4 linked regions of the Drosophila melanogaster genome follow. The protein of the gene in region 3 interacts with the protein of the main gene of each other region in a pairwise test. Each region holds a gene or a part of one and is shown on either strand. Other genes may lie near its edges. The genes, in order: CG7856, CG9624, CG8813 and Lim3.

The links.
Region 1: the proteins of CG8813 (region 3) and CG7856 interact in a two-hybrid assay, tested with the Drosophila melanogaster proteins (one large-scale study listed by BioGRID).
Region 2: the proteins of CG8813 (region 3) and CG9624 interact in a two-hybrid assay, tested with the Drosophila melanogaster proteins (one large-scale study listed by BioGRID).
Region 4: the proteins of CG8813 (region 3) and Lim3 interact in a two-hybrid assay, tested with the Drosophila melanogaster proteins (one large-scale study listed by BioGRID).

What each region holds. Positions count from the first base shown.
Region 1 is NT_033778.4:6,054,323-6,063,028, reverse strand, and holds CG7856 (uncharacterized protein), read left to right. Parts: upstream 1-3,470; 5' UTR 3,471-3,593; coding exon 3,594-5,645; 3' UTR 5,646-5,672; downstream 5,673-8,706. Other genes in the region: CCHa2-R (CCHamide-2 receptor), read right to left, coding at 1-148.
Region 2 is NT_033777.3:14,224,959-14,232,217, reverse strand, and holds CG9624 (uncharacterized protein), read left to right. Parts: upstream 1-3,072; 5' UTR 3,073-3,148; coding exon 3,149-4,018; 3' UTR 4,019-4,200; downstream 4,201-7,259. Other genes in the region: CG9631 (uncharacterized protein), read left to right, coding at 5,502-5,708, 5,782-5,953, 6,097-7,037.
Region 3 is NT_033779.5:2,866,595-2,873,830, forward strand, and holds CG8813 (uncharacterized protein), read left to right. Parts: upstream 1-3,057; 5' UTR 3,058-3,151; coding exon 3,152-4,006; 3' UTR 4,007-4,055; downstream 4,056-7,236. Other genes in the region: CG2991 (uncharacterized protein), read left to right, coding at 1-147, 220-636, 743-1,073; Ifrd1 (Interferon-related developmental regulator 1), read right to left, coding at 2,577-2,660, 2,729-2,956, 4,095-4,338, 4,410-5,094, 7,042-7,078.
Region 4 is NT_033779.5:19,103,668-19,112,622, reverse strand, and holds the start of Lim3 (Lim3), read left to right. Parts: upstream 1-4,195; 5' UTR 4,196-5,236; intron 5,237-6,347; exon of another isoform or gene 6,348-6,457; 5' UTR 6,458-6,551; coding exon 6,552-6,900; intron 6,901-8,955. Other genes in the region: amd (alpha methyl dopa-resistant), read right to left, coding at 308-622.

The sequences.
Region 1 (8,706 bases), on a different chromosome or scaffold from region 3:
TGTGGCCCATATCCAGTGCCAGACCCTCCTGCTCCTGCTCCAGACCTTGTCCGGTTGCCAGGAGTCCGCTGTCATTGGCCCCGTTGCCGTCGCTATCCGCCAGCCTGGCTGCCAACGTCTGGCCAACGTCCATCAAGGAGGCGTACATGTGGGGAGGAGGGAGCTGCTCCTGGGCAAGATGTCTCAATGGTGTTTCTATGCGTGGCGTTTTATGGCCTCGCTTTGCCCACTTCCGTTTCCGTGGGTCTGCTGCCGTCCGTCCGTCGAAAGCCGAGAGCCGAAAGCTGCCGGTTCTGCCTGGTCCTCCGTGCTTATGTCGATGATGTTGCTACTGGTGTTCCCACGGGCTCTTGTTTTATTTTGCACATTGTGTTTGGCCGTGACCACTGAGCTCGCTGGGGCGGTTGCCCGTCAGCTTCTGCATGACTTTCGACAGTTGGCGCCGGAAGCTGTTAGGGGAGAAAGTGAGATAGGAAGAGAAAAGAGAGAGAGAGAGAGTGGTTCCGTCAGTTCAGACTAATTCAGTTAAACTGTAATCGGTGTGCATTTGCCTGTTCGTAAAGCACACGCTGCGCTGCGGCTTATCTACGCAGGCAAATGCATTACCTATGAAGCGCATAAATAACACGCATACGCAGCGTGTGTAACGGGGTGGGTAAAAAGAATTTATGACTCGGCATCTGAGGCTGAACCGTGTCGTGTACATCGTGTAAAGCCTAAGTGCGTATCGGCATAATAAAGAATCTCCTTAACATGCAATCGCTGACCATGTGTGCATTTAACACGAATTTACAACGCCAATAATCATAAATTTCGAAATATTCCCCCGGCCACTATCTGCTGTGCGGCAATCAGAGTCTTTCAAACATCCAATTATTTGTGGCCCTCCCTCCTACCCTTCGACAGTGATTATCTTTCACGCTCAGTTGCCGTTTCTAGACCCGCAATCCCACTAATACGAAAACATTCGTGCGGAAGCCAATACTTTCAAGTCGCAATCAAATGCGTTTATCCCCTAAAAAGAAAGCAGCGCTGAGCCTGACGCCCGACTAAGACAGACTCTAAGGCGGGTTTATCTGGGCTGCTGTCAGCTTGCGAGGGTGTTGTCCCGATGCTGTTTCAATTTCGCTTCGATTCGATACTAGCTATCGTTGCCTTTTGGTGAGCTGCCATTGATTTCTTTTTCGTTATTTATTTATTTTGATTGTGGCCTACGAGTGCGTGCGGAATGGGAGCCCATTCGCCAAATGAAATTCCATCAAGTTTCAGCTCGTGAGACTATTTCTGGAAAATCTAATCAACCAGGCTAAGTGAAAGTGCATTCCCGGGAGCTTTGTGGAGTCAGGCGCTTCAGCTGCTGACGAGGTGGTGCATTCGAGCGACATTAAATCACTTATTTACGGGAAATCACCTTGCACATGCTGAATCCGCAAAATTAATTTGAATCTAAATAATGCATCAGCTATGACCGGAGGTCATGCATATATTGCACCATATATTGCAGAGGGTACTCTGTCAGAAGTTTACAACGTAGTAAATTGGAAACATATAAATCATATAACATATAATGTTATGATTATACACATATCGTCCCATGTTCCATTTTCCGTCCATATGAACGCTGTGATCTCGGGATAAAAAAAGCTAGAAAGTTATGATTTAGCCAGCAGGACCATTCCTACTGTCTGAGTAACGGATATCTGATAGTCGAGGAAGTCGACTACAGCGTTCTCTCTTGCTTTAAATACACATATTTGTGTTTATTGCAAGGGTATCTAAGCTTCGACTTATCGGCGCCATCTTCTTTTCAGGTTGTGTATTGCGTTTTATCCGTGGCCTTGCCGATGCCAATCTCTTTTGCCGAGGCATGGGTAATTTTCGGCAAATAGAACTCTTGCCCAGGCTCAAAAGTCTTAACACATGTCTTGGGGAGAATTGGAGTAGAAAAATTGTAACACATGGTTAAGCACATTTAATCGTTGGGGTCTTAACCTTTTAATTTTATCACCCGCTCAACTTAACATATTTAAAAGGGTTAGGTTTTGAAAGATCAACTGTTTTGGCTTAAAGGTAAAATCTGCTCTTTTCTTGACTTATTCATCTTGTCCACTATAAATGCACTTCGCGAGTCAACTAAAAAAAGAGTCCGAAAACGTCAAATAGCTGCTGGCAACAACAAAGAATATGTCAGTCTTTTTTCTAAATCAGGAAACTTTTTCTTTCCTGTATCAAACTTTTGGATAGGTTTTTCACGAGCGAAAGCGGAAAAGTTAAATTTTCCGCTTAGTCCTAGCCGTAGACAAGCCATTTCATTTAAGAGGCCATCCCATGGGATCACTGGGCAGGCAACAGCCATCAACAAGAGAAATGATTAAACTTGACTGACCAGACACGCGCCTTAATGTCGTCAATTGACCTCAATCAATTATACACAATATTTTTTATTTGACCTTCGTTTATTCCATTAGAGTTTTTTTTATTTGTATTAAAATTCGGCGATGTGACTGTAAAACGCATCTGAGGCAGCCATTTGGCCTAGGAATAACATTTTTTCATGATTTAGCGTTGTTGTACGAGCTGAATTTGGTATGTGCTAGATAAAAACCAGCCGTTAAGCAATTTCAAATGTCGGGACACGGGTGAAATAAGCATTTGCCACCCGCAGTCAGTTCCGAGCAGGGGATGTCTTGGATGCCCCGTTGCGAGCAACCGCTTAGCAAAAGGCAAAGCCAGATATTATATGTTATCACCAGCGATGTATTACTGCTTCTACAGCACAGTGACTCAATATACAAATAAAGGTGAGAAAAAAATGCGATTCTCCTTTTTTTGACTTGTGCAAGAGCTTTTGATTTTGGAAACGAAACGTAGCCCAGAGAGACAGGGTATGGCGTTCCGTTGTATTTCGTGTTAGATAAATCATAAAGCAAAAATAATTTAATACACTTGCGTGCCCTGGTTGTAGCTCTGGCGACGAGGCGTATGTGCAATGCGGCGTGTCGGTTAATCATTTGCTTCTTTTATGAGCAGCCAAGCCGAATAATAAGCCTCAAAGAAAAGCGAGCTTAAAGGTGCACCTCAAACTCTGTTAAATTCACGGCCTATCACGACGGCACGACCCAACGCTCAACGCCAACTCATTATTTCCCCTGCAGCTCTAATTAGAGTCAAATATAACTAGGGGGCCTTGAGGACCCCGTACGCTAGCCTTGGCCATATTTAATGCGAGCTGAAAGGTCCGCGAGTTATGCAAATTTGCCCCGCCCACCGAATGCTCCGAACATTGACAAAATTATGCGCAATCGCGGGCCAGTCTCTCGGCTACCAACTTCCGGCGACAAAGTCAAGTCATGGATGGACATCCTGACCTCGCCCGCGGGTCCAGCCATTAGTCGTCATTAAAGATGATTGAATGCGAGCCCCGCTTTTGCATTGTATAAAAGGGGCACACTCCTGGTGACAACAGGGTAGGTAAAGTTGCCTTGGCGTCAGTTGGCAGTTTGGGAAAAGCCTACACACTTAATATTTCGATAGATACACTTATTTCGCAATCGTAGAAGATACCACAAATCTCTCTTCCGTAAATTATAAGTATGTCCAAGAGGGTGAGCATCATGTTGCCCGACGAAATACCTGCGGCTCCGTCAGGCAGCAGGAGGAACCCGATGCCCAGCCGCACACTCAAAAGTTCCATTAAAAGTGGATCAAGCGCTCGGACGCAACCCGCACCGCCAGTGTTCGTGGTTGTCAACCCGGAGAGCAGCCAAAGCTCGCTTACCTCGGGTCAGCGGAACAACACCAGCACGACCAGCAACAGTTCCCTTAACCAACGAAATAAGGAGCACTCCGCGGCGAGGTTGTCAGTAACCGAAGATACGGCAGCCCTGGACAGCAGTGCCTTGCTTCAAGGTGGATCCTCAAACTCTCGTGATACAGTTAACTTCGATTCGACCTCCACCTCGATCAGGATGTTCCTTAAGAACACAGTGGGCCTTGTCAGGGCAGGAGAGTCCTTCACATCTGTAAAACATCTCTTTCACAAGTTCATCAAACGCAGCGGTTCTGTGCCAAATTCCAAGCGTTCGTTGACATCCTCCTGCTCCCAGGCGGTAGATGAGGAAAATCCCTATATGAGCAAGTCCAATGATACGCTTCTGACGGACTCGCCCACCCGCACTACTGTGCCCAGCACCTCCCAGATAACGCCCACCTCACATTTCTCCAACTGCTCATTCAATAACACGAACTACGACCTTTCCAACCTCCTCTCTGACATCACCCCTTTGACTGGCTACACGCCAGTGGGTCTCACTGAGGAGGCTGACTACCGAACAGACACTTCCGCAAACACCGCATTGAACAGTGTGACATGCAATTTGGCGAGCTCGTCGGAGAATCCTTTGGGAAGCGGATTCGACAACAGTCCCTCGAAGATTTCTACCGATCAGGAGAAGATAGCGGACACACAAGGACGTCCTACTTCCAGAAATCGCTTTAGCAGCAAATCTTTTCGCCAGAAACTTAAGACCTCGCGCTCTAGTTCACCCAGAAAGTCGCCCAAGATGTCACCTCGAAATAAGCAGTCAGCACCTGCAATGGAACCCATATTTGCAATGGTTAGTTCATCTGGGCCTAACTCTTCTGAGGGATCACGGCGATCGAGCAAATCGAGCCTGAGGCGGAAGCAAAGTCCATTACCCAACGTAACTGCCAAAATCTCGGCCACCTCTAATTCAAGAGCGGACTTGGCTAAAGCGCCCAAGTCCAGGAAAGAAACCACCGCCCGATCAAACCTATCAAGAAAGAGCTACCGCCGGAGTTCACCCAGAAGCCGAAGTCGAGGTTCTCGGGCAAACGCCTTAGAGAGCCCCCTTCAAAAGAGCGAGGACACCCCCGACAATGTAGAGTACGCCTTCGCTCTGGTCAGCCCTGAGGAGGCGGGGAACAGTCAGCCTGAAGAAAGTAGTGCCGGTGTCGAGGATGCCTCCTCCAAGTGCGAGACATACCAAAAGGATTGCAATTGCCACCATTGCCAGGACATGCGTCGGGCGGTCAAGAGGTCCGACTTTTTCAAATCTCCCGAGGGACAGAAGCGGCTAGAGGCGAAGCTACTGGCCAAGAACTTCTTCATGGACCTATGCGTAGCGTCAGAAGTGCGCCGACAGGCTCAGTCCGATCTGCATGGAAAACGACGTCCTCCATCAGCGCGTCTCAGTTACCCGGTGAGCATCTGTGGAGCGTGCAGGCTGAGCGGAGGCTCGCTGTCGTTGCATTGGATCACCCATGACCTTGACAGCGTAGACCACTTCGACGTTTTTGTGGACAACGTGCCAAACCGTAGTGTCTACAACCGGCAGGCCACCTCCACCGTGCTCGTCGACGTGAACACCACCGAGACGCACACGCTGCGCCTACGAGCGGTGCCGGAGCGTGGGAGCCGTGGTCAGGATTCCTCGGTGGACAAATTCATGTCGGAGGTGGCGGCCGGGCATATGCGTCACGTCAGGCAGGGCCAGCTCTTCGCCACGTGCTTCGCGCACCTGGACGCCCGGCCGCAACAGCGTTCACTGGTGGATTTCTGGACGGACAGCGAGTTCTTGTACATGCCCACCCGCGAAACTCTTACGCCTTCAAAGGCTCGCTGACTGGCGAAAATAAACTGATTTATGAGCAGCAGTCCGTTTTGGGAGTGGATATGCGGCAGGAACAGCTGCGTGGGTGAAAATTGATTAGGCTAATTTAGAAGTGATGACCAATCGGCGCACTAAACTCTCAGTGCAAAAGCAGTGGCCCGGCTCCCACCTGCACCACGTTTTGCGAGATATTCAAAACGAATCGTGGGCCTGGTGCGGCCATCAGTCAACGAGACATGGGCGCTAAGCATCCCGCGCGTCTTTATCAGTGGCTTGCAGGCAGGCTGGCTTGGCGTGGGGGGACTGGTACTGACGAAGGCGTTTCGCGCTGATCTGTCAGAGATTTTGGGCCGCAAAGTGGCATGATTAATTATTTGGCAAATATTTGGATTCCGCGCTCTCAGCTCAGCTGGCTTCACCATGGAAATAAGGAAAACCAAAAATATGCGGACTGGCACTTTCATAGAGGAAAGAACGGGCGAGAAACCCAAACCGTTCAGTATTTTAATTAATTTTCACTTTCGTTGGGGACTAGTGAGCATTCCATCGACAATGTGATGGACAGCTGTGGCAGCAGTGCCAACAGTGCTCCCTCGAGAATCAGAATCTCCCGTCCACGATTCACTGGGCGCGTTCTGATTGAAGCGTTTTGCATTTACTTTGTTTTGGTTTCCCTTGGCGCGTGATTGGTTCCGAAATAAACAGGGGCCTACTTTTATTATTTGGATAATTTTCAATTATCGCTGTTATTTCCCGAAGTCAGCAGTTCATGCTTTCAGCCCTCTCTAGATATATCAATACGTATTTATACGTACATATCTACATGTTGCCACGCGGCGAAAACACAGTTTTTATGGTCGCATCTCGCGGCCACTTTCAATTACTTTTTATTATCAGGTCCACGTTCCCCCCTCAACGCATTTTTATGTGCTGGAAGCAGTTGGCTAAATATTTTAATTGATTTCATGTGGTCCACGCCAGCCATTTGGCCAGGACTCAGCCCGATCAGAATGCAGTGTTTTGTAAATATTTGCTTTCTCGCCCAGACATCCATGTCCGTGCCCCGAGTTGTTTACGGTATACTGTTTATGGGAAATTGCGTTGCTTAATGTCAGATCTTCTAATGGCCATGATGACGGTAGCGATCATTGCTCAGATGCGGAATCTTACTTAATCATCTTCAGTGTTTTCCTTACATATTCGGCAGTATCTATGAGTATTTATGTGTACTTTGACAAGACGTTTTGGCTGTTAGAATATGAATTCTTAATTATTGGACTGGGCAAGGTCTAGTAGCTAACTGCAGCAGAAAGTGTCAATTGCGATCAGGTAATTTTTACTATAAAAGTCTCACGGGTTATTCAAGTTGGATGCGAGCATGTCTTTCTATTCTATCAAGATCATAGTAGCACCTAAGTTTATACAAAATATGTATATCAATTTGTATTACGATTTCGGTCGAGTACTTTAGAGTGTTTTATCTAATATAAACATGTAGCTTTCATTTTTATTTCCCCCCCATTCAAAAGCTGTTTTGTCATTTGAGCAGTTAGACAGCCGGTTGCGGTTTGTGGCTTAGCCTAAGTCACTTAGCTTAAGTCACTTTTGATCAGCCCAAAATAAATTAAATTCCAACAGAAGAGAAAAAATGCCGGCTAGTAAGTTTCGGCGAAGCAACCACATTTAGCTACACGTGATGGAAATAAAGCTATTCCACACAATGGGGCACCCTTGGTCTCCTCGGAAACATCGAATTTAAATTAGAACCGTTATGCAAATTAATCATTTGTTGCCTTACTTAATTTTTTCATTTTCCTTGGAATCGCATTATTTGCTAACTAAATTGGAGCATGCGAATCGCACAATGTTGGTCCGAAAGAGGTGGGACCAATGCGTGAGACACAAAAAAGAATGAAAGATACACGATACAAAGGTCTTTCTTGAACCGCTTCTCGGGATTATTTATGGCGAGCTGTTGTCCGTGTCCAGGCAGGTCCAGCAGGATTGAAAAAGTAAGAACTGAGAACGATTTTATGATAAACGAGTCCAGTCAAACTCCCGGCACAGGAGGCCGAATGAATGAAACCAAGAGAAGGACAACTGGCTTGTTAGTCCACATCGGGTACGGGTACTTAAGCTGGAATGAGAAACTCTGCTTTCCGACCAGGTTCACCTGCCCTGGGCAAATACAAGATGGGACCATGGCCCATCTGTATTCTGAGGAGCAACTTTTCTTGTTTGACTAACCTTCACCGTGTCGTCAATCAAAAATTTATTATCACTCGACCTTAACTAGTTGATTCCGATGTGACAACACTAGCAAATGCATGAGTGAATTAGGGCCTTCAATAAATCATTCGGCCATTCCAGATTCATTCAAATTTACAGCATTAGTAGCCCATTCAAACAATCACAGTCGATGATTGCGCGGCCGTCAGATATCATTTATCAAGCGTCAAAGCGTGCATATTATCGCTCAGAGGATAAAAGGCAGCAAATGAGTTATGTCTTCTTAGAAGACAGGTGAGTCCTGCCTCCTGGACAAAACTCGAGCGGCTTGGCAGACAGTGCACGCGTGAGAGCCTCAACCTTCATTGAGCATGTGTCGGGTGTCAGGAATTGACGGCTCGTCAGATTGAATCGTGCGCGTCGCTTCCTACGCTTATCTGCTTCGCTTATTTAATATCCTGATTATGCCTTGTCTTGCTCCCATCGACACAGCTGACTGGAGCGGTAATTGAATTCCATTCTGCGTCAGCAGGCTGCATCCAAATGACACTCGAAGACAGGACTCGAGCAGCTGTCATAGTCTTGCACCCGTAAGATATCCTTGCGAACAGTAACCAGGAAACCAGAAGGCGTCGACGGCGTCGTACCACAAAGCATATCAACTAATTAAGAGTCCGAGCTTCCTGGGCAAGAGGTGAGCCCAGCTAATGACCGCTTTACGGAATTCATTTACCGAATGTATGAGGCTGCACGTGGCCCGCTGCATATTCATCAGCTAACAGAGGACTCCGGGCGGCAAGGACATCACCCTAATTATGCTGCTCGCCCAAGCTCATCTTCACCG
Region 2 (7,259 bases), on a different chromosome or scaffold from region 3:
AGACGATCCGATGGAATGCCTTGCGATGCAGACAAAATGCGCAAATTGGTTTCACTTGACAGGGCAAGCGTGAAAACGATGTTGTACTAGTCCTGCTCGACGCTTTTCCCGCTCGACTTGAGCCGGAAAACTTGGCCCAAGTTGCGGCAAACTTTGTGACCGTTTTGCACACGTTGCGCATTCGCCGCGTACGCCGACGCGCCCACATGGCGTATGACAAATGTGCCCTCAGCTGATTCGCAAATCGCTGGGCACGACACTAGCCATTAGAATAGATTAGAGCATCTGGGGATTTGGGACAAACCTGGTAAGCAGCACTCAGCACCCAAGGTGTTTGCAATTGCTTTGTCAGCCTCCACTATTATTGCGGTCTGTTTGCGCTGCCCTCTGGTGTCATAATAATTAAATGGAATTAATGCCTGGCCGGCCAGAAATTCATCACTCCAACCATCTATTGCTGCTATTGCTACACTGCGAAAAATGTATTGGCTTTGATGCCCTTTTATGATTTAATAAGCATATATTTATGATGCAATCTTAATAATGTTTCTTGGAATCAAGTTTAAACGAAAATCATGTTCTCTTTAGTTATAGTAAGATATTCTTTAGATTAGAAAGTTGAAAGGTCTTGTTTATGGGACAGTTTTTTCTCGGTGTTGTGGTGCGTGCCGCATTCGCTTTGTTATTTGAGGTGGCAGACTCATTTGTAAGCCAGTCCAGGTTCCCAGACCGAGGGAATCTCTTGAGGTGCCTTGAGCCAGCGCTTTGTTCGTAGGTTTTGTTTTGCTTATGAATACCCGGCCTTGAACTGAAATAAAGAAGCTGTCGTCCGACTTTCACTTCACTCGCACAATATGAATGTGGGTGTTTTCGGAAAATGTTCAAGGAACCATTCCATACATGTCCAACTACCCACGCAAATGTGTACGAATTTATGTTCTTAGTCCGCTGCCCAATTTTCGGATCAAAATAACAATAATTGAATATTTAAGTTGCTACTTTGAAATATATATTTATCAACACCTGACAAAAAACAGATTTTAAATAATAAATATTCTTTTTTATTGGTGCTGTCAAAACGGAGGATTGCGAAACAAAAGAAATTCTGCGCATATTATATTTTCACAATTTTAAAACTTTCCCAATTGTAAAATAATAGTCAATTTCGTTTTCTTATGAGCTGCTATAGCTAACAACTTGCATAAAAGATATCAACGACGAGAACATTGCACCAGTGTTTTTCGATGATTGATGGATGAACAGCACTGCATCAATCATATTTTTTTCACACTCTAGTGATAATTTAATTCATATTCAATAGTCTGATGGTGGCAAGTTTAAAAAGTCCCTTTACTTGCCTTCATATTCAAGCATTCCCTTTTGAGACGCTGAATTCCGCGTATCTATTTTTCTGGCAAAAAAATTCTGTAAGGCTTTTATTTATGTAGAGAACCTCAAACCGCAGAACGGGTTCAAAGTGCATCTACTGGAAGTTCCTGTGGCCTTTTCTCTGCGGTGTGCCAACTCAAATGCATAGCCAAAAAAAAAAAAATAATAAAAAAAATGACTCCAGTTTTACGCTCGAGTTTTGTGTATATTTTCCGTTTGATGTTGGGGCTGCTTTTCCATTTGTCGAATGCTTAAAGCCATTTGAAAATGATTGGCTTTTATGTCAATAAGCGTCTCAGTTGTCCTTACTTGTTTCAGTTTTTCTTTTGCATGGCTTTTTCCTTGACTTTTTTTAATACAGCTGACTTCGCTTTTTCTTTCGGTTTTTGCTCTCGCGGTTTTCTCTTACAGTCTGACGCTTAAGTGCCCCAATAAAACACAATAAATATACACATAAATTTTTATACACATCCCGCATATAGAGGACAACTTTTTTTTGTGGCCAGAGAGCTGGAAAAAGTCGTCGCGTTTTGATAGATGAAACGAAATAAAAAGTAAAACAAATACGGTGTTTTTAGCTCCCGGTCACTTATGGCTTTAAATTTTCCAGCGAAAGCAAAATTAAATTTTGAAAATTAGAAGGCAACTAAGGCTAACCGGATGCGATAAATCATCGTGGTAAAATTAAAATCGTGGGTTCGAATCAAAATTTCGCACTGGCGCTGAATATTAAAACAATAAGTGTTTGAACATCGAGGCGTAAAATAGGCATTCGTCACTCGGTTTTCGGTGCACCGACATAAATCTAAATTCAAACCTTTTGTGGATTGGATTTTTGCTAGGTGCCTTCGATTTGTAAGCCCACTGATTGTGTTCAACGTGGCACGAACAATTGATTTATGAAAATTTATTGCTCACATGCGGAGGACCAAAAACCAGGCGCCCGAGCGCCCTGCGATAGGCAACACTTTGTGTTTGAAATTAAAGCTGCCACGCCGCGAGCAATAAAAGCAAAGCCATAAAAGCTAATGAGCCCGAAAACTCGTCACCGTTGTCACAGCCATTTCCCCTTCGGATCTGCCACGCCCTCCTTAAACTAATATATATGTATGTATGTTCGAACTGGGGCATAATGAAAATCGCGGCCATCTTGTTGCGCCTGCATTCCGTCATAAAATCCTGTTTCACCTCACTGTTTCAGCTCATAAAATAATGGCGATCGTCGGCTACCGTGAATATACGGCATGGAATGTCGTAAAATTTACGCAAATTGTTGTTGCCGATTCCCGATGAGAATACTTACTTACCGTTATTGCCTGTGAGTGCGCATAAATTTGGCAACAAATGCAAACAAACAAGTTTAGCTATAGAAAAATGTGGGAGGGCTTTGTTATTAGGGGGCGTGCCAGTAGCTGATTTATTTCGCTGATAGGAAGGGATGTGCTTTCACTGCTGCGAATTTTTTGAAAAAAGATAATAAGCATATATACATTTTATAAATTTTAATTCTTATTTTAAGCTACGAAACTAAAGACTCTGTAAACATGTTAATATACGTAAAAATCTGTTGAAATAATGTATATTAAGTTTTGGGCTGAAATTAAGAAATCCAAATATTTCTAGGTGTATTTTAATGTAGATGCCAGCAGATTTGTGTCACCCTATTAAGCATTTGATAGCGAGGCAACGGAAATTCTGCCATAGACACACATTTGCTAGCCAGGCCAAATTACATGAATAGAAATTCCAAGTACCCAAAATGAATACCTCCGAAGTCAAACGAACGCTGGGTAGCCCCTTCTTCGACGTGCTATGGCCATTGATCCTGGACGAGAATGTCTGTCGCATCGAGACCAAGCCGGACGAATTCTTTGTGCCCCGGCAGCCCTTCAATCGACTGGATTGGCATATCTATCTGTCCCAGGTGGGCTTTCCTTTCTACATGCCGCCACATGAGCTGCGCTGCTGCAAAGGAGCCCAAAGGGAGGAGATCGAGAACGAGGATGCTGAGAATGCCTTAAACCAGGAGGTGGAGGAGCGAACGGCGTCGAATCAGGTGGACTTTCTGCGCCATGGATCCCGGGACATTAGACCCATAGATGAGGTGGTAAACAAACTGAGGATGGAGCAGGAGCGTCGCCAGAAGTTGGCGTACGACTTTGCCAATCGGCGCTATCCTTGGACCATGCAAACTCCCAGTCACGAACTGGGCTTCACCATCACTGAGGAGCTGCAGAAGTGCTTCAAGGGACCCATGGAGCTGGACATCTTGAGGGCCATTCATGATCACGACTGCAAGCTAATGATTATCGATCTGGGCACTGATGTGGACATTAAGGACTGCCAGCGCTGGATAAAGTTTCGTCCATATATTCAGTTACTGGCATTGCCTCGAACACCTCGCATGGAACGATCGCTTCAGGTGCTCAATGTCTTCCACACGTATTTGGTGGAAGAATCGGCTGATAACTCATGGCACGATGAGGTGCAATACTCCCTTCGCACAGCTTTTGTGCACGCACAGAAAAATCAGCTCCTTAAGTCCTGCGGAGAGCCATTTGTCTTCGTATTTAGTCGTTTTCGTGGCATCTGCACCTGCGATACCTATAAGATAATCCGACGGGCATAGAACAAATTCTTTCAATTAATTTCCATCAGCAGTTATTAGCAAATGCCAACTGAAGTTGCTATAGACAAGTAATTATTTATTGCTTTTAAAAAAATTTCAAAATGTAAAAAAAATCTCAAGTTTACACAAGATTATATATATTACATGCAATAAATCGAATTTAAACATCATAACATCTGTTTTAGCCCAGTTTAATACTTATTCACGTCGCCTAATTTGATACGACTTGATTTGCTCCGCCCGGCCGTTCAAGCCATCATGTTGAAGTGGCGCCCGAACAGGAACCGCTTCAATTAGGCCGCCCAATTGGAGCTGCCTTCAAGTGCAGTCAGACGCACGCTACCTGCCACTTGCCACCCGATTATTGACGCAGGCGGAAGCCTGCACCACCATTTTCCGATGTGTTGTCAAAGTGCCTCCGCTAAGTTGGCAGACTTGAGCCCACGGCACAATTCACAACAAGTTTGTTTGCGAAAAAGAAACGAAATCGAAAAATTTCGCACCAAATCTCAACAAATTATTACAAAGCTTAACAAACTTGAAACTGATTATAAAAGTTGCCGGCAGGCAGTTGGGGCAAATTGGGGGACCGGCGGCCACAATGCAGCAAAATTGAGTTGCGGGTATCGTGAAGTTAGGAGCACTTCCCCTCATTCTCTACGGGCTTCCTTTTTGTTTTGTTGGAAAAAGTTTTTTTTGGCCAAATGCGTTGTCGCTATAAACGTCGACCCACAAACATAATTTTCAATAGAAATTCACATAAGCCACCTTGCCACGCCTGATAATAGCTTTGAGCAAAACTTACGCGATTTTTAAGAGGAGCCGCCACAGATCTTGAAAATGTAAAAAGTCAGTAGAAGTATAGAAAAATAAATTTAAAAAGTAATACTTTTCTTATCAGTTCGTAAATGTTTCTTATAGCATCAAAAACAAATTGCCCAAACAAATAAGATAAATTAAAGAGTACTTGTGCTTTAAAAGCCAATGCTAGCTGTTTAAATTTTAAATTGCTGTCAGGCGTAAACTAAGCCACAAAAAGTTGTGTTTTACAACAGTTCTCGATTGATACTGAACAGTTTTTTGCTATAAAAATTGAGCAAGATCAGAAAAAGAGAAGAAAATATTTCTTCAGTTAGCTACGAGCATATCATATATATACGAGTACATACAGTGGGTTTGTAAAACAAGTCACATGTTTACTTAGATGGGGATTTTTCTCTCAACAGTAGCTCCTCTGTTAAATAGTTCCGTGGAGAACCAGGTTCTTAAATAGCTGTTAGTTAGTTGAATGATTAAAAATAGTACTAAGCCGAAGACTTGATATGGCTGGGAATAACCAGTGATCACTCAATGGGGGTGCTCCGCAATCTGGCGAGAGATCAGCTGTTACATGGAGAGGGAGTGCATCGATAGTCGCTTGTGGATTCCGATTTCGATCCCAGTTCTCATTCAGTTCCATTCAGCATTGGTTGTTACCGTCGCAATGACAATCTTGTGGCTGACCTTGCTGGGCCTTTGTCTCAATCTGAAACTCGGGTCGGCGTTGCACGTGCCGCAGCATAATTGTGAGAGGTATTTCTCCTACTACAAAGAGGACAGTGGAGCCTACATTGGCGTCTTCACGGCGCCACGCGCTGGTGTGAACAGCCTATCATGGGAGGTGGTTTTCACTGCTCACGGAACTGGTGAGGTAAAGCCCTAACAAATTACATATATATTTGTTTATTTCAACTGATTCAACATTCTGATATCCCCCCATGCAGGCAAACACTGTGGGCTCACTCATTCCGTATCCCAATAAGGAAAGGGCCTTTGAAAAGATACACAGCGGAGAACGTGGCGAGGTGTTTGTGCGTTTCACGGATTTTGGAAACGAGCTGCCCAAACTTGTCCGGGCGGAATTCAACGGCGAGGTTCTGTGTCAAAATGAGGAGTGTGAGTAATAATAAAACTAGATAGAATATCTTTAGTTAAATTACTTTGAAATAATTATTGTTACCCTAAAGATATTCTATATAGTAGATGATCTCATATAGTTGATGATAATTTTCTCATATCTTTCTTTTTACTTTGTGCAGATGATGCCCCTTCAAGCACAATGACCCGACGCCAGTCCATGTCCACCTCAACGCCAATTAGTCAAAAGTCAGCACCAAGAGAAATAGTGCGTCAGCGGCGTCCGCCGCCGAGCACACCGAGCAATGACCCCAATCCTTTCCTTCCTTCAATCATGCCCAGAATAGATTCGGACTTTGAGGAATGCGGCGTTGAGGGCTTTTCGCCTCTTCAAATCGGAGGCGACCTGGTGACCCGCGGTCAGTACCCCTGGCTCGCGGCCCTTTACGAAGGTGTTGGCACGGCTACATACAAATGCGTGGTGTCGGTTATCTCCAAACGGACTGTGATCACGGCAGCTCACTGCATTTATGGAAAGAGCGCCAGCCAGCTTTGGGTCTATTTGGGCAGGCATGATCGCAACGAGAATCCTGAGAATGGAGCCTCCCTGGTTAGCGTGACCAGCGTGCTGACTCCGTCCGCCTACGAGGGCAATCCAGTTCCGGATGCGGACGTTGGTCTGCTGGTGCTGACCTCTCCGATGGTGTACACCAAGTACATTCGACCCCTCTGCCTTTGGGGCTCCAATATGGGATTGCCACCGAATGAGGGCGATACTGGAGCAGTAGCCGGTTGGGGCTACGACAGGAGTGCCCAGAAGACGCGGTTTCCCAAGACAGTGAGTGTTCGATTGGTGCCCCGGGATCAGTGTCTCAAGGAGATGAAGCGGGCGGAGGACTTCATCACGCGGCGGACCGTCTGTGCCGGCAATTCAGAATCACATGGTCCCTGCTTCGGAGACTCGGGATCTGCTCTGATCGTCCTGCGTAACAATCGATGGTACGTTCGTGGTGTGGTCTCTTTATCGCCTCGCCACGGAGAGATTTGCGACCTTAGCAAGTATGTTATCTATTGCGATGTTGCACGGCACATTGACTGGGTACGTCAAAATATGGTCATGTGAGGCGCTGAAATAATTATAATGTGACAATACAGGAAAACACGGAAATTTATGTACAAAATTCTCAATAAATCTTTAAGTCGTATAATAGATTACCTTTTCCTAGTCGGTGGATTTCCCAAGCATGCATTGGTGCCAACAATCTATTAAGTGTATACTTTGCGCTAAAATAAAACCCTTGCTTTAAGCCTATGACTTAAAGTGCAGATGTTTGCAATCATTGAT
Region 3 (7,236 bases):
GGGCAAGATTCTCGGTCCCAGCGAGGCAATTGTGAATGCCTCACAATTGCATCAGTCGCGATTCGGACTGCTGTTTCAGGCCGTGATGCTAATCGTGATTGTGGGCTTTCTGACTTCCGAAACTTTGGGCGACTTCTGGAAGACCAAGTGAGTAGAGGCTTTTAATTAGTTTTGCAGCTGCCAATTTGACAAAAAGCTTTTCTTTTCGCCACCACAAAGGGTTCCAGTTAACTCGCGCAACTGGCATGACATCATTTTTCGCATCGCCGAGATCGGTGTGGCTCTCTGGTTTCCCTGCTGCCTTTGGAACTCGATGGCTCCTGAACAGCTCTGGATTCTAAATCCTCGCAAGCTTCTATCCCGCCAAATTGATCCGTCGATACCCACTCTAAATGCGGAGACCAACAAGCTCTCGCCCGAAGAGGGCCAGTCGTTTTTAACCAAAAAGGATTGCTGGATCTGTTACGACTCCGACAAGCCAGAGCCCCTCATCCAGCCCTGCCGCTGCACTGGCGACGTAAGTTCGGTGCACCACGAGTGTCTCAAGCGCTGGCTGGTGGAGAGCTGCAGCAATTCGGAGGCGCAGTTGTCGTGCAAGGTCTGCGGACATCCCTACGAGATCGAAAAGTCCAAAAAGTAAGTGCCATTTGCAAATAGGGAAATGGGTCACCGCCACATAGCTATCAGTTAGACCATTTTATAACTGATGGTAAATAACTGATAACACGACACTCTATTACAGACTCGAATGGGACAAGGGCTTCACCATTCAGCATTGGTCCAAGACGGTTATATTGATCACCTTGATGTGCGTAACCGGTGCCACCGCCTGGGTGGTGATCCAAATGTACGTTGATCCGCTGGTGCGCGTGATGACAGTGGGCATCGCCGTGCTCATTGGCTATGTGTGCGTCAAGTGTTTGGGCGAGAACACCGTGGTGGCCTATCAGCGGGCCAAAGTTAGCTCAATCAACATCGTGACCAGCTCGGAGATGGAGAAGTTGCACACCATTTGCGAGGAGGTCAGCGCCAGCACCTCCGCAGAGGCGGTTCGGGCGGGAGCTGCGTCCTAAGAGGCTACCACACACATCAGCTGAACCCCCACAGACAAAACATTACTTACTTACTTACCTAGTTTAGCATGCGTTTTGCACAGGTTTTGCTCAATGCTCAATTATTAGTTTACACATCACACGCGAGGTGGGTCCTAGCACCCGCCTTTCTATCCTCAACCGTGTACATAGGTTTAAATCTCTAGCGAGTAGACAAGAAGAGTAGCGAAAAGCGTTTCGATTAACGAGTGAATTTCGTCTCTCAAATTATCATGCAGATTTCCAGAAGCAAAGTGTATTACAAGAAGCCAAATATTACGTAGAATAAGTGTAGGTCAGTATCAATTGCGAAAGCGAAACGGAAACGGAAACAGAAACGAGAACATCCTGAGATTATGATTACGAACGCGTTGCCAAGTAGCCTGAAGAGCGAATAAGCGAGAAGATAGTGCTTAGATGCGCCAGTGAGTCAGTCCCCATGCTGATTTATAGTTTATAGTTTTCTTTTATTTACACCTAAATTATGAAAGCATTTTGATTTCCTTCATTTCATTATCGGTTTCATCCATGGATGCAAACAAGAAGCAAGCAAAACACGAGTACTTGGCGAATATTAAATTAAGCAAACAAGTTTTTAATTTGTACTTGATGGAAATACGTTTCTTATTAACCTTTAAGTTTACTCCTTAAGAAACTGATTTGTATAAGCTGCGCCCATATATACATACACACGAACATATATAATATATATATATAAATTTTATTGTAGTTACTACACAAAATTTGTCAAAGCAAAGAAAAACAAAACAAAATCCACAAAAGGAAAGAATCCAACATACAATTTAAGTTACCATACAATTTTTGTGATAAAACTAACAAATAAAATACAATTTATAAAACGCAAACTGTTTTTTAAGTGTTTTCTAAAAAGGAGTCCATTGTTGTATCCCCACCAGTAAGAATGCATTTCAAGTAGTTTTCGTTTAAGCCTAAACTTTATTTTACACTTATTTACTACAAAATATATGTATTCATAGAGCCGCTTATTATGCGTATTAAAAGCCATGTCAAGTTATGAATAACTTTTTCGCAGCATTAAAGCAGACTATGTTTTCCTACGCTTGTAATTTAAAAAGATCAACAACAAAAGAGGTTAACCCAAATCGCAAAGCGTAAATGCCAGTCGTAACAATCGCAGTGTTAATTTAAATTCACAAAGAATAAGATCCAAGCTGGAGCCAGCCATGCACTTACTGATAAACAACCACTGTGCGTGCACGCAATAAATATTTCATAATATTCAAACAATGGCTCCAACATGTGGTTAATAAACTAGAGAAATTTTGTAGATTACACTGAATTATCCTAAATTTAGACTTAGTTCTTCAGCTTTGGCGACGCTTTGCCTGGTTCAAGCTAAAATTAGAAACAATTCAACTAGTAAGTCCAGAGTTGGCTAACGGGGTTTGAGATGGTTGGTTTGGGTGTCTGTGGATGGGAACGGTTGGTGGGTGAAGCACAGGTTTAAGTGACGACGGCCGATCGCTTGTCACGATTCTTTCCACGTGTTATGGAGCGTGCCTTGAATGCAGCAGCATTCACAAGGTGCTGCAAAAGCAACAAATATAAATATATTAAAATTTGAAGCGAATGTTAACACATTTCAATCAACTTACCCGCTCCAGCTTGGTCGGCTTGACCTTGGCGTTTCCATTGATGCCTGTGTTCGTGGGTCGTGGTCCCAGCTGGAAGATGTCACGGATGAACTCGTTCTCCTGCAGCTGCGAGGTCATCCCGGGACCCATGACAGTGCACATGGCCGAATACTGATGATGGATGGACCAGGAATCTAGTGTCAGCGACTCGGTACCGAAACGAATGCTAATCTCTGGGGAAATGTCCTCCTGCAACGAGATAAAAAAAACTTTAAAATCAGGCTAGGCTACGAGCAAATATTCTAATCTCATTTCGTACGATTTTGAAATGTATCACTATTAGTTTCTCTATCAGATCAAACAGACCAAATTTCTCGTTAAAAAAAAAAAAACTACTAAAAAAAATTGTTTTGGCCAATTAGTTTTGTAGATTTCGTTATCAAGATGATGCTATCAACCTATCAGCACGACTATGTCCCGCCCAGTGCCAAACGGTACGAGTTTCTAACGCGGCCCAGGGGCGCCGAGGCTCACAGTGGTCCGCAGGTCAAGGAGTGCGAATGCGTCGACGAGTCCAAGATCATGATGCCGCCGAACGCGTCTAAGGACTGTGGCGGCGTCGAGTGGACGGGCATAGCGCCAATGGGAAAGCTGGTGGATCCGCGTATCATACCCACCCAGCTGACTCAGGACCAGGTGGACAAGATGGCCTTCTCCGCGGAAACAGATTGCTTTAAGCTGCAACCCAACCGCTTTCTCAAGATCTTACGTACAGTCTACCCGGATCTGTATGAACGCCTGAAGGTCATGCCCAAGGAGGAGCTGAGCCGCAGGCTGGAGACCAACCGTATGAACACCACCTATCAGATCGATTACTGTAACATGAACGAGTACCCGGAGGGTATTTATGAGAGCCTAAAGACGGAGGACGAGTCCAAGAACGCCAACAAGCTGATGAGCGAACGTGGACCCTGCAACGAGTTCCGCTCGAACGTGATGAACGAACTGGAGCGGGAGGCGTCCGCTGGCTACGAGATGTCTAGCGACGAGTGCCAAAAGAACTACAAGCCATTCAAGACCAGCTTCTCGGACTCCTCGCAGACCATCGAATCCGGCAGCAGTTCGCACTGGAACTCCGCCCCGACCACATACCGGAAGGTGCCGACCTTCAGCGAGTACATGGACTCGATAAGCCGGAACGGCTGCGTCATCATGCGCAACAAGTTGCACGATCACTCCAAGTGCTTGGCCAAGTACTGCAAGCACGAGCTCAAGTTCACTTGCACTGACATGAAGTAATCGTCCAAAGACTAGTGCATCTCGAGTCAAATAAATAAATGTAATCCCTATTGTTTAAGCGTAGCACTCGTGCAAATCTTCAACTCACCTCCAGGTATCGCAGCACATCACGGAAGGTGGCACGCTGGGCCTTGCGATCGCGCTTGGCGCGGTACTTATGCGAATCCGTGGCCAGCTGCTTGACGGCCTCCGATAACTCAGCGATGTCATCTTCTAGGAAATCCTCTTCGTGAGCACGTCCCGACTCCAGAATTAAAGCAATGGTCTCGCCAGCGGCCATGCGGACGTCCAAATGTGTAGATTGCAAGAGACCCAAGAACTTCTTAATAGATCTGCAAAGTTTAGTTTAAACAATTATAGCAATGGGTTTGAAAGTTAAATGGAACTTGCTCTTCAAACTTACGGAAACATGTTTTGGCCAGTGGTCATCAACGAAACAAAATCCCCCGAAGGTATAAGTGTTAGTAGAAGCCCCCAGGCGTTCAAGGCCTCCGCATGGAAAGTCCCAGCTTCGGCGGTGACGGATACCGGTGTCTTGTCATCGCCACGCAAATAACTGCCTGCGAAGATGGCCTCGAAGCTCTGCATCAGGTGTACCAACTCCCCAACATCCTCGCAGCCCAGGAAGCTCAACAATCCCACAGCTGTGCAGCACTTGGCACGGGCATCGAAGCCCACGGACTTGTCCTGAACGGTGTTCAACAGGAATTGATTCATCGCCTTGGATATGCCTTCATCCCCGCCCATTTGGAGCACCAGCAGGGGCGCGAGTCGTGCGCCCCACACCTGCTCCTGGCCCTTGCCTCGACGGATGCTCTTCTCCACGAAATCCATCAGGGTCATCTTGCGGTCCTCCACGAAGTCCGGCATGTAGCGGTGCATGAGCAGTTCGCAAATCGCTTGCAGAGCCTGCACACGTGTCTGGGCCGACTTCTCGGTGGCCTGTTCCAGGGCCTTCTCGAACTTCTCCTCGAAACGCTCATTGGCCAGCTCGTCGGTGGCCTCCGAGGATGCGACTTCGGACATATGAGAGTAAACGCTCACATTGTCAAAGGACTCGTCCTCAGAATTGGAGTCATTGGTGCGGCCTGAAAAAGAAATCATTTGGGTAATTAATAAGGTTTTTTTTTGAAGTATTTTGCTATACTCAGCGAGTTTTTCAAGCATAATTCATAAATATTTATTATGCTAATGCGACCTGTGAGCCTTTTTCAACAGCTATCGTTTTGAACAATATGCTTAATTGCACATTTTAGGCATTCAACGAACCCATTGGAATGTAAGCTAAGCATTTTGCAAATGGAAACTCAGTGAATACCAATGTAATGATTATTCTATTTTCAGAACCCCATTTGTATTCCTTGTTAAATGGAGTAAAATATTGGGACCACCCTCATGCAAGTGCCCACATTTCCCTTCAGTAACTGTCAAACCAGCTGAAAAGAGGCATCAAGTTTTGCCGTCTTCGAGCAGCTTTTCATTCAATTGCTTGTGTGCTCATTTAGATGGGGAAATGTATATGTACTGAAATTAGAAATTCAATTACACGCTTTGCCACACAGCAATGACCTTCAAGAAAAACAGCTCGGGAGCCGCAAATGTTGTGCAACAAGTTTTCTATCCATCTTTCGATGTTTCACTTTGTTTGCTGGCCAACTGCGTCGAAGAAAACCCGTCGTAGAGCACAACTTTCATTGTGGCGATTTCCCAGTGCCTGTTTTCAGCTTTCTATTTGGGGCAAGGTAGTTTCCGCCTCGTTTTTTGTGTTTTTTTTTTTTTTGTTTTGCCTTTCACAAAAGCTGCGAGCAAACTACAAACACAAAAGCATGCGGTAACTGCGGGCTAGAAAAACGAATCAAAAGCAGTGGAAAACAGCTGGTTTTGCTTGAAAGTTGTTTGGATTAGATTCGGGCGAGTAAACCATCTGTGTTTTGAGAGCGACTAATGCATAACACAAAGTTGCGTAAGTTTTTAGGTCACCCATGAGGTATATACTTAGATGCGAGGAAAGTTCCCCGAAGAGCCACAACTTCCGCTTCTTTATTTTTAAATTTAATATTTGTAAATGATTGTATGATGAGCCTATAAATACCAATTCGGATATTTAACTATATAAATAGGTACAGCTTGAATAATAACTTAGCATAATAGAGCACTTAAATAGAATACATAATTTGATACGCCCTACGAAAACATACCCACTGATACCCTGCACTGAGGTATTCGGTTATAGGCGTGATTCTGATAAGCTGGCATTGAGCGTACACATATACATATACATATGTGTACGTATGTTTTTCCACGAACAAGTATATTTATATTTATATACAGTTGTGCTCAACATAGAAACAACGCAGAAACTTAAAACCTCCTCCTTTGGTGAAATGCAGCTATTTAACTTTATATTACATAATTTGGAATTTTTGTCAAAATTACTATGGTTATATTGTTATTATTGGTGGGCAAAGCTGTATAAATTTACATATGTATACGTATGTATATATATTTTCAGTGAACCGCTGATTACTTGTTGTTGCGCAGCCAGCTGAGCGCGTGAAGCTTTTGGTGCCAGCACAGCAACAAAACGAAAATAATTATTTCATTTCGAGGGTATTGACAAACAGGTTGCAGGCAGCGAAGCTTCCTTCGTTTGGAAGCCAACGAAATACACCAAACAGTGCACGGTACTCATTAGTCAGTGCATGACTAATGCAAAGGTCAAACGAAAAGCAGCTGTGAAAATTCACCTACCCTCGCCGGCTTTTGTGGGGATATACTATTAAGTCTATTGTTCAGATGTGCGATTTAATTCGTTTATTTTGTAAAAAACAAGAAAACCATGAGGTTAAGATGGTAATTAAACCCAAAATGTTGCTACTAAAGGCAAAATAACTAATTTTAAGCCTATAAAGTCAATTGTTTCAGCTGGAAGTTCACACTCGTATCCAATAGATATATTATACGCATTTGGATACGTTCAACCTCGCATTTTTTTTCTGTGCACACCCACACACTCTCTTTTCTTTGTGACTCACCTCTGCCTGCTGCTGATTTCTTGTTGCGTCGCGGCATGTTGCTGTTGTTTTTGCGTCGTTCAGGTATTTTGCTGTTTGAACTCGACGACGACGTTTTGGTTTCTATTGTTTAGCCTACTGTTTCAAACACAAGGTACGAAACACAAAAAAAACAGATGCTTTGTAGCCGAGTGTCCTTTTCCTGTTCTGGGTCCT
Region 4 (8,955 bases), about 16 Mb from region 3:
TGTTCGCAATGACAAATATTGTTTGCGAAACGTCTAGTTTGGGTTTGGCTAATCAATTCTATATACATTTAAATTTATTTGTATGCCTTTAAGGTGAGTCTGCTGCCCAATAACTTTTATTTGGTGACAATTGCCGATTGATTTGTGTGAACAACTCTCTTCGGTCCGGTGCAGTGGCAACCTGTTTGTCGAGTTCTTGGATTCACTTTCACCCACCGCGCACAATGAGCGCCCATTCAGCCGGCCAAAACAATGGGCCAGAAGCAGCAGCAGCAGCAGCAGCAGATTTCACCATAAACCAACATACCCAGCTGAATCCGATGACGCCGAACCCGCTGGCCAGCATCTCGCCCACAATGGAGGGATACGAGGTGCTGGTGGGGTAGTAGGCATGCATGTGAGGCGACTGCCAGTGGGTCAGTCCCGGCTTGATGACGCGACTAATGTCGCCGAGGACATCCTTCCACGCTTCGGGCTCTTCCGGCATCTCTGTGGGCAGCAGGTCCAACAGATAGCCTGGCTCCACATTGGGCAGTACGTCGTCATCCCGAATATTCTCCAGATAGTCGGCTATGTAGTCAATGGCGGCCTTGCCGAATTCCCGAAACTCCTTGGCATCCATACCGCTGACAATGTTGCGATATCGTTTTCTATTTGCACTTTTTACGTTCTGTTTGTTTTGGTTTTATTTCCCCGTTTTCGTTTTTGATTTGTTTGCCCAACTCGATTTCAGTTCCCGATCCGTTGATGCTCCTCCAAGTTGCCTGAGGTTCACTCTGAAACCGATCGCCGGTGACGGCTGCCTTTTATACTCCGACTTCTCTGGACAGCCTCCAGAGCTGTCGGTTCAGCCAATCTGGCTAGTTTTGAGAAATCATTAAAAACCGGCGCAACTGACTTGTTTTATTCTTTTGATCTAACTAATTTAGCTTTGATTCGTTGATACTTTAAAATTCAAATGCGAAGTTTGTTCAATTAACATAATCAAAACATTAAAATACTGTTGAAAGTTTATAGAAAGGAGTGTGTACTATTTTATACTACTTACACAAAGGGGTATATAGTAATAGGTTTATTCTTTTATACGAGAGTGCCATTCAAATACTTTTTTTTTCAATTTAGCTATTAATTTCGAAAATACCTATATCCGATTGCTCTGCACAGTGATTTGTGAAGCGTGTCCAATCTGCGAGATTAGGGAACGAATCGGTCACCGGGATTATAGTTGGGTTCGTATATTTCGTGCCATATATTTATAGAAAAACAATTACTTGGCAATTTTCTTAATCGTTGAGTGCCTATCTCCTGAGCATATTTATCGCATAGTTCTTTGAATCGATAAGGATTTCTCAAGTGTTGCGTTGATTTGGCCAAAAGATTTTGTTACCAACGACACTCGAACAATAGCTGGTGGGAAATCACTTTGGGTCACAAACTGTTCCCACTTTTTTGTTGGTCGGTTGGCGCTCTCTTAGCCCCTCTCTCTTAGGCAAATTGATGACAGAAATTATAGTTTTAAAACCAATTGATTATTGTTGGTTGTTATTGTTGTTGACTCTAATGAACAATAATTGTAAATTCACGTGTGAATAATTTAAGGCTCTTAAAATGAAACTCTTTCAAATTTGTCTCTTTATCACAATAAAAAGTAAAAAAGTTCAGTATTAATAGTTTTTAATATATAACGATCATAAGCTAATCAAACGTGTATATTCGCTATATTTATCCGAATTTAATTATCATGGCAACACTTTTCAGATACAATTAGTTTTTTTAAGTAATTATATGAAATTTAAGTTTTAACTGACCTTTTTTTTTATATCATTTTTCTAAGAAAACACAATGAAGAAAGTTGCTTATGATTGTTCTTCCACATTAATTCATTCACATTCACGCACGTATTTAATATGAATATTCATTTAAAAAAAGGAGAATCTGCTGGATTTTTTCACCATTTACATATGTATATAGCTTACCCAACTGAATCCAAGGACTCCGATGCCCGCGATCAGCAGCTCACCGATGATGGAGCCCGCCGACGAGGATGACGGATAGAAGGCATTGAAGTAGGGCGATTGCCAGTGGGTCAGACCCGGCAGGATGATGTTCTCCAGATCCTTGAGGACCTCGCGCCAATGATCGGGCTGCTCGGGAATCTCCTTGGGCAGCTGATTGATCACCGCATATGGAGCCGTGCTGGGCAGGACATCCCTGTTGGAAGAAACACAGAATTTAGAGGCATCGCTCCAAGGATAAAAGTCCAGACACACACCTCTCACGTATGCCGCTCAGATAGTTGATAAGGAACTCGATGGAGGCATGGCCAAATTCACGGAACTCATCAAAGTCCATGATCCTGGTTAATCCAAAAAAAAAGGCGCGATTTACTTTGGGGGGGAATTTGGGTATTTAGCCGCTCCGCTGGTTCCGCACTTGTTCACCGCTGACATTCGAATCTACAAATGAGCTGGCTGCGCTTTAACCAAGTCTCAATGAGCTCCGAATCTCGAGACCCTCCAATAAAAAGTTTGGGGGGGAACTCCAACAACGTTAACAAAAATCCGGCTATGTGTGAAAATGTGCAGTGGCAGCAAGTTTTTTGTCTTTCTGACTGGCCCATTGCCGAGATTTATGTTTATGTAACTACCAAAAGACACAATAGCGAAAACAAGATCGCCGGACAAAAGTTAAAAATGTCGGTGAAGAAAATTTAAACAAACTGCTTGTTAATTGTCTATTAAAATGTGTTATCCAAACACTAGCACTGCTGCTTACTAAATCTCCGCCATCCCCCCCAAAACCCACTGCCGATCCGGTTCCATATCATCACATCATCAGCAATTAACCGTCCCAAGTCGAGCCCATTTGGCAAAATACTTCATGTGTCTAACCATTAACGGCTCCATTAGACAGACGTCTGCGACAAAAGCGTTGGAAAATTTGAAAGTCAAAGTCGATTTGGTAACCGCGGAAGTGAAGCTCCGCCTGGGATGCCATAGATTGGGATCGCGTTGGATTGAGTGCATCGGTTTCATCAGCCATTTCCATTTCCATTTCCATTCACGATCAGTTTCAGTTTCAGGGTCACGCTGCATTTTTATGCTCTTACCCTATATTTTTTTATAATCGGTACTAGTTGGGTTCAAGGGTATGCCGTGTTTTCGTGTTGTTCCGCACGCGTAACGAAAGCCCAATAAGAAAATGCTGAATGTTTAATAAAGGAAATATGTAATATAGTTTATACAGTTTATAGTTTAGCTTCTGTGTAATAGTATCCAATATATATTACAGGCAAGCTGTAAATGATGATGATACAAAAGTCTTAGTATAAGTATGAAGTAATACATTTTACAGCATAAGATGGAATCATGTTTTTTTCTAATATTTATACGTACTTTGTATCTGGCATTTTATGCAGACTTTCTCAGACCGGGCATACTTTTCGAGCGACCCACGCACTCCAGCTGTTCGCGTTCCTTGCTCCGCCGCAGCGCGGAACCCAACCCACAAACGACCTTCCCTGCTAGTGTCCACTTCGGTGGGTGGGCGGAGGTCATCCGTTGGGAGCGGGGGCGTGGGGTTCTCGAGCATGGCGTTGGGGTTCAAAGTGTTTGGCAAAGTATTTGGCGCGCTCTAAGCGGCTCATAAATAAATGCGAAAACAAAATCGTTTTTGCAGACGCAACGCATTTAAGGGGTTTTCGGGACGGGTGGCAAGTATCCACTATAGATATAGGGGTTCCGAAACTACACAGACAGCGAGAATCCTATGCAGATACAGCGAACTCATGGGCAACGGGTGACTCGGGCATGGAGTAGCAACTTCCCCCCTCTCCCATCACCCTGCCAGCTTTGGGTTTTCGAGTGCGCCGGCGCTGGAACGACATCGAACTCTAGGAATAGAAGCGTATGGCCACCCCAGCCCCATTTTAATGGCGACGCTGGGGCGATAAGATAATGGCCACTGCCTGCGCATGCCTGGAAGTTCTTGTTGCTTTTGGACTCTATCGTCGGCCGATTTCCAGCGATTTTCAATATAAAGGGGCGGTGCCTGTTTTCCAGTGGAGACCCCGCATTTTTGGTGACCGCGCGCCGCGTATTGACTTGGACCTTTGAGTTAAGTTTCTCATATTTGTTTCGCCTCAGTCGACGTCGCTGCTGACTTTTAAGTGCTGTTTACTGTTGTTTTGGGGCCAACGAAGGTGTCGCGCTCGACGTTGGTTGGCTTTTTGTTCTACCCACTGTGCTGTTTTCCTTTTTTCATTTTTTTTTTGCCCCTGCACTTTTGCAGCTCAAGCTTCTTGAGGCAGAGGGAAACAAAAAAAAGTTTCCACACCTTCTTTTTTCGACGAGGCTAAAGTTTTTGCGTTTTACAAATATTGTAATGCTCTTGGAATTTGGACTTTTCGGGCAAATGGGCATCGCCAGAGAGCGACACACACATGCGCACGGCCTCCAAAAAGAAGCACAAAAATGTTGTCGCTGCTGGCGTTGTCGCCTCGCCGCCTTGTTGCCATTGTTGTCCTGCCATTCAGGGCTGGCTGTATGCATTTTACCATATCATTTGTGTCACATTAGGATCAATTGGTAAACACACGCCCGCACACCCGCACACACCCACAGATAGTACGTATACGCACGGCGTACCCATGTGGGCGGCCAAAAGGCAAACGGCAAACGGCACACGAATACAAGACGAAAGGCAAAAAACAAAAAAAAAAAAAAAAAAAAACAACAGCGTTAAAAGCTCGCACAGTCGAGAAAAAGCGTGAAAAAGTGCGCAAAGTAAAAAGGAGAGACGACAGTTTGGACGGCCAAGAAAATAAATAAAGATGCAGCGCGGCAAATAGAGGGGATTCCCACCAGCAACAATACCAGCCGCCTGCCAGTGTTGCCGCGTCCAGGGTTGCCGCCGTACCGTTACCGACACCGTTACCGTTTCCAGACCGTTACCTTACCGTTGGGCAAACACCGTTAGCCATGCCGCCGCCATTTTGTCGCACTGGCTTCGCATTTGCCGTCGTCGTTTTCGCTGCCGAATCCGTTACCGTTACCGTTAAAGTTGCCGATGCCGTCGCCAAAATGGCGTTCGCATAAAATCGCGTTCAAGTGCCGCAGAAAATTCAAACGAAATAATACGAAATGTTGAAATAAGAAAATTAAAAACCAGCCAATAATTAACAAAGTTAACAAATACTAGAGTTGAGTGTTAAAGTGACGCAAAAAATTTTAATAGGGTAAATGCAAATCATTTCCACTGGTTTTACGATTCCGTCGCATAACGAAAGGCTCAATAAAAAGGCTAAAATTCTGAGGAACTATTGAAAAGAAAGCCAGCTTGATTAAAAAATGGAATGTTACATTTTAACAGTAGATCCTTAAAACAAAAAAGTCTATTGAGCAAATTGTGTTGAGAAGAGTTACAAAACCAAGATACGTTTAGGATTTTAAAATGTTTAGTATATGAATTTTAATACTAACACGATTGGATTTTGTTTGTTTTAAGATTTAAGGCAATCAAAATAAGATTAATGTGCGATTTCCAACTCCCGATGTTAGCCATTTTAATTTCAATTTAATCTTAGGAGCTTTGCTCCTAAAATTAAATTTCTATAAAATAAATTTCATAGTATTTTGTTTCATTTATATATGATCTTCAATCTTAACTAGTTTCCAAATACTGAAGAACTATTAAATGGAAATTTCCGATTAATTATTCTACGTTTTAATATTTCACAAAAAATAAATTGTTTACCTATTTTGTTTGTTTGAATTTCTATAAAATAAATTATCTTCAATCTTAACTAGTTTTCAAATACTGATAAACTATTAAATGGATATTTGCTATCAAATATTCTACGTTATAATATTTCACAAAAATTTTTTTTAACTATTTTGTTTGATTTGGGAACCATTAGCAGTTCGTTTTTGATAAAAAAACCTTGGACATTGACCGTTTTTTGATAGATAGTATAGTGCACATCCGATTTGTTGTCTTCGCACGAGAATTCTCCTCGTGATAGACGATGAATAGATATGCGCCAAACGGTCTTTTGAATATCTACCGATCAGTTTGGCCCTATCCTCGGCTTACATAAAGTTTACCCGCCTTGCACTTGGTCGAAAGCACCCGAACAATAGATGGTCTAGTGTGCCCCGGTATCGCAAACAAATTCAAATTGTTCAAGTCCCTGGCTACTTCAACTGATAGAGCAGCCGAGCACTGAGCACGAGCCCAACCGAGTGGCAAGACTGGAATCTAGATTCTACCGTAGAAACCGAAACCCAAAGAGACCGCCGCGATAAGGGAAAAACAGTCAACCGGGCCACTGTTGGGCACAAACCAATGCCAGTTATCGAGCAGACAGCGATCCCGCCTAGCGGAGTCTCGTTTAGACGCTAAACGGGAAACGAGTGCGGTAAACTAACACAAAGATTGCTTTTTAAACACCAAACAGGGCTAAAGATACAAACGTGTGCCAATTGGAATAAGCTAACTGAAATATACATATAACTCATACGACGCGTGTTCAAATCGCCGGCCCCTCAGCAATGATGCAAACCCTGAAACCACCGCCACCGCTACATCATCACCACCAGCATCAGCACCAGCTCCAGCATCCGCCTCAGCAGCAGCCACATCCGCATCAGCAGCTGCAACATCCGTTGCAGCAGCAACAGCACCTGTCAGCCATGGATAATCACCAGCAACATCAGCCGCATATCCATCAGCAGCAGCAGCAGCAGCAACAATTGCCACCCACGCCGCAGGCATCTCACCTGGTCGGTGGGCAGCAACAGCAGCAGCAACATCCGCACCACAATCACCTGGCTGTCGACCAGGATGACCCAAATCCCGAACTGGTGCTCGCCTTAATTTCCAGGAACCGGGCGCTCGAGGGTAAGTGGCCAAGTCATGCCATCTTTGATTCAGTCCTGTCCATCTGAAGGCTGCCTAGGAGATTTTCCTGCACAGTGAACAAAAATGTTTGCCAAGAATAGTATATTATTAAAATGTTTGGTTTTCAAACTTAGATTACATTTTTGAATTTTATTTATCAATTTATCAATTTTTGAAATGAAAGAGAGAATAGTCGTATTTACATTAAAAAATATCGTGGTTTCTTAATTTTGCTTTAGTAAATATTGAGAATACAGTTTTCATGTTAAAACCGTATATTTCACTTCTGCTGTAAGTTAACCCTTTGAATACACTTTGCCCATGTGTTGGCCGCGCCTTAATTATGCAAAGTTTTTGTTTGCGCTCGCCCTTTGTTTTTATGAGCGACCAGAAAGGTCTTGTGATGAAGATGAGTTGGGGTTATGAGGTCGGTCTTTTAGGGTCACATAAGAGCCTTGCGGTTGGCCTGGCTTTGGCTTTGGCTCCTCCGAACTGGGGCTTAAGTGTTTTTCAATTAAATACGAAAGCTTTCCCGGTGGCAGACCACCATCTTCACATCTCCACATCTCCACATCTCCGAGCAGCTCATTTCGAATGCCCTTTTAGGAGGGCTCAGTGTTGCGGCTGCTCGGTTGGACCGCCTGCTTTTTTATGCACTCCGCCACGGAATAAATGTATGGTCCGAGGGGACTTCCTGCAATATATATAACTGGCAAAGTTCCGGCAGAAAGTTTTCTTTGAGGATATATGCATGGTGAATGGCTCCGAAGGAGATGATTTATTGCTGCTTGAGATGGCTCAAGGATGGTCAAAGGGATTTCTTTGTGCGAGTTGCTTATGATCCAGGCCTGTCACATTTATGATTTCGTTTCATACATGTGCCGCACTCGAAAATCCCACGCCAAATCAATCGGCAATCCCCGGACTAAAAGCCAGCCCAGAAAGTTGACAACTGACTGCGGATTGGAGTCGAGTCGAGTCGCGTCGAGTCGCGTTGAGTCGCGTCGAGAGTGGAGAAGATGACATCGGACAGGGACACGCGCCGCTGATGAGAACAAAGCCGTAACCAAATCCAATGCGAAACTGTTGACAAACTCCAAATGTCTCCGGCATTGTTGCTAATGCGCTGGGAATACCCGGTCACCAGTGGAGGCGGTCGTCCACTGCACGTGTGTTCCCGGCCGAAGTTTTCGGGCATTGAAAAGAGCAGGCTCAGCCGTTTAGCCATTTTCCCGGCTTCAAGTGCGGCGGGATTTCGTTTTTAGAACACGCGTAATTACAAACAAATAAATATAGATTCCTGGGTGGAAAGGAGGGGGGGGGGGGACGGATCCGGGAAACCGCATGTGCTGGGACCTGCGGATCGCCTTGGTCGAGCCTTCGCCACGTGTCACTAATATCCACTGCATCCCTGACAAAGTGCGTGCACTTTGGAAAAATCCAGTAAGTCGGGAATGACTTATCCCGTTTTTGGTAGAGGTCCAATTTGAAGCGGAACGGAAAATCTAAGGTATTCTTAGTATAATATATTATTATAATATCAGTATGATATCTTAAACACCTTAACCAACCTGAACTTTAATCATGATTAAATCTGGGCACATTTCAAGGGAAAGGATTGGAGTTCTGGTTGACTACACACTTCATGAAACTGGAAGTTTTAGTAATGTTGAATCTTGTTTCTAACCTTCATGTTTCATTTACTGCTCTTTTGTTGCAGTGTAGTTGTGTACTTTTCTCGCAGTGTAGCTGGGCTGGGCTTAGCTGGTGTAGCATGGCAGTTCGTCGGTGTCCCAAAGGACTCGAGTGACGTGTGCCGGGCGATGTGCAAAACGAGCAGAAAAATTGAATTATGCGCTTGCGGTGCTTCTTTCGAACCCATGGAACCCCTGGAACCCCTGAAAACCCTGGAGCTGCCTCTGCCTTTAGAGCCTGCCCTACCCCGAAGCCAAAGTCCGCCCATCACCCCGCCCATCACTCGTTTCGGGCAATCGACAAATATTTTGTTATTTGCACATAAACATATTTATCGAGTTTGGGTTTGGTTTTCCTTTC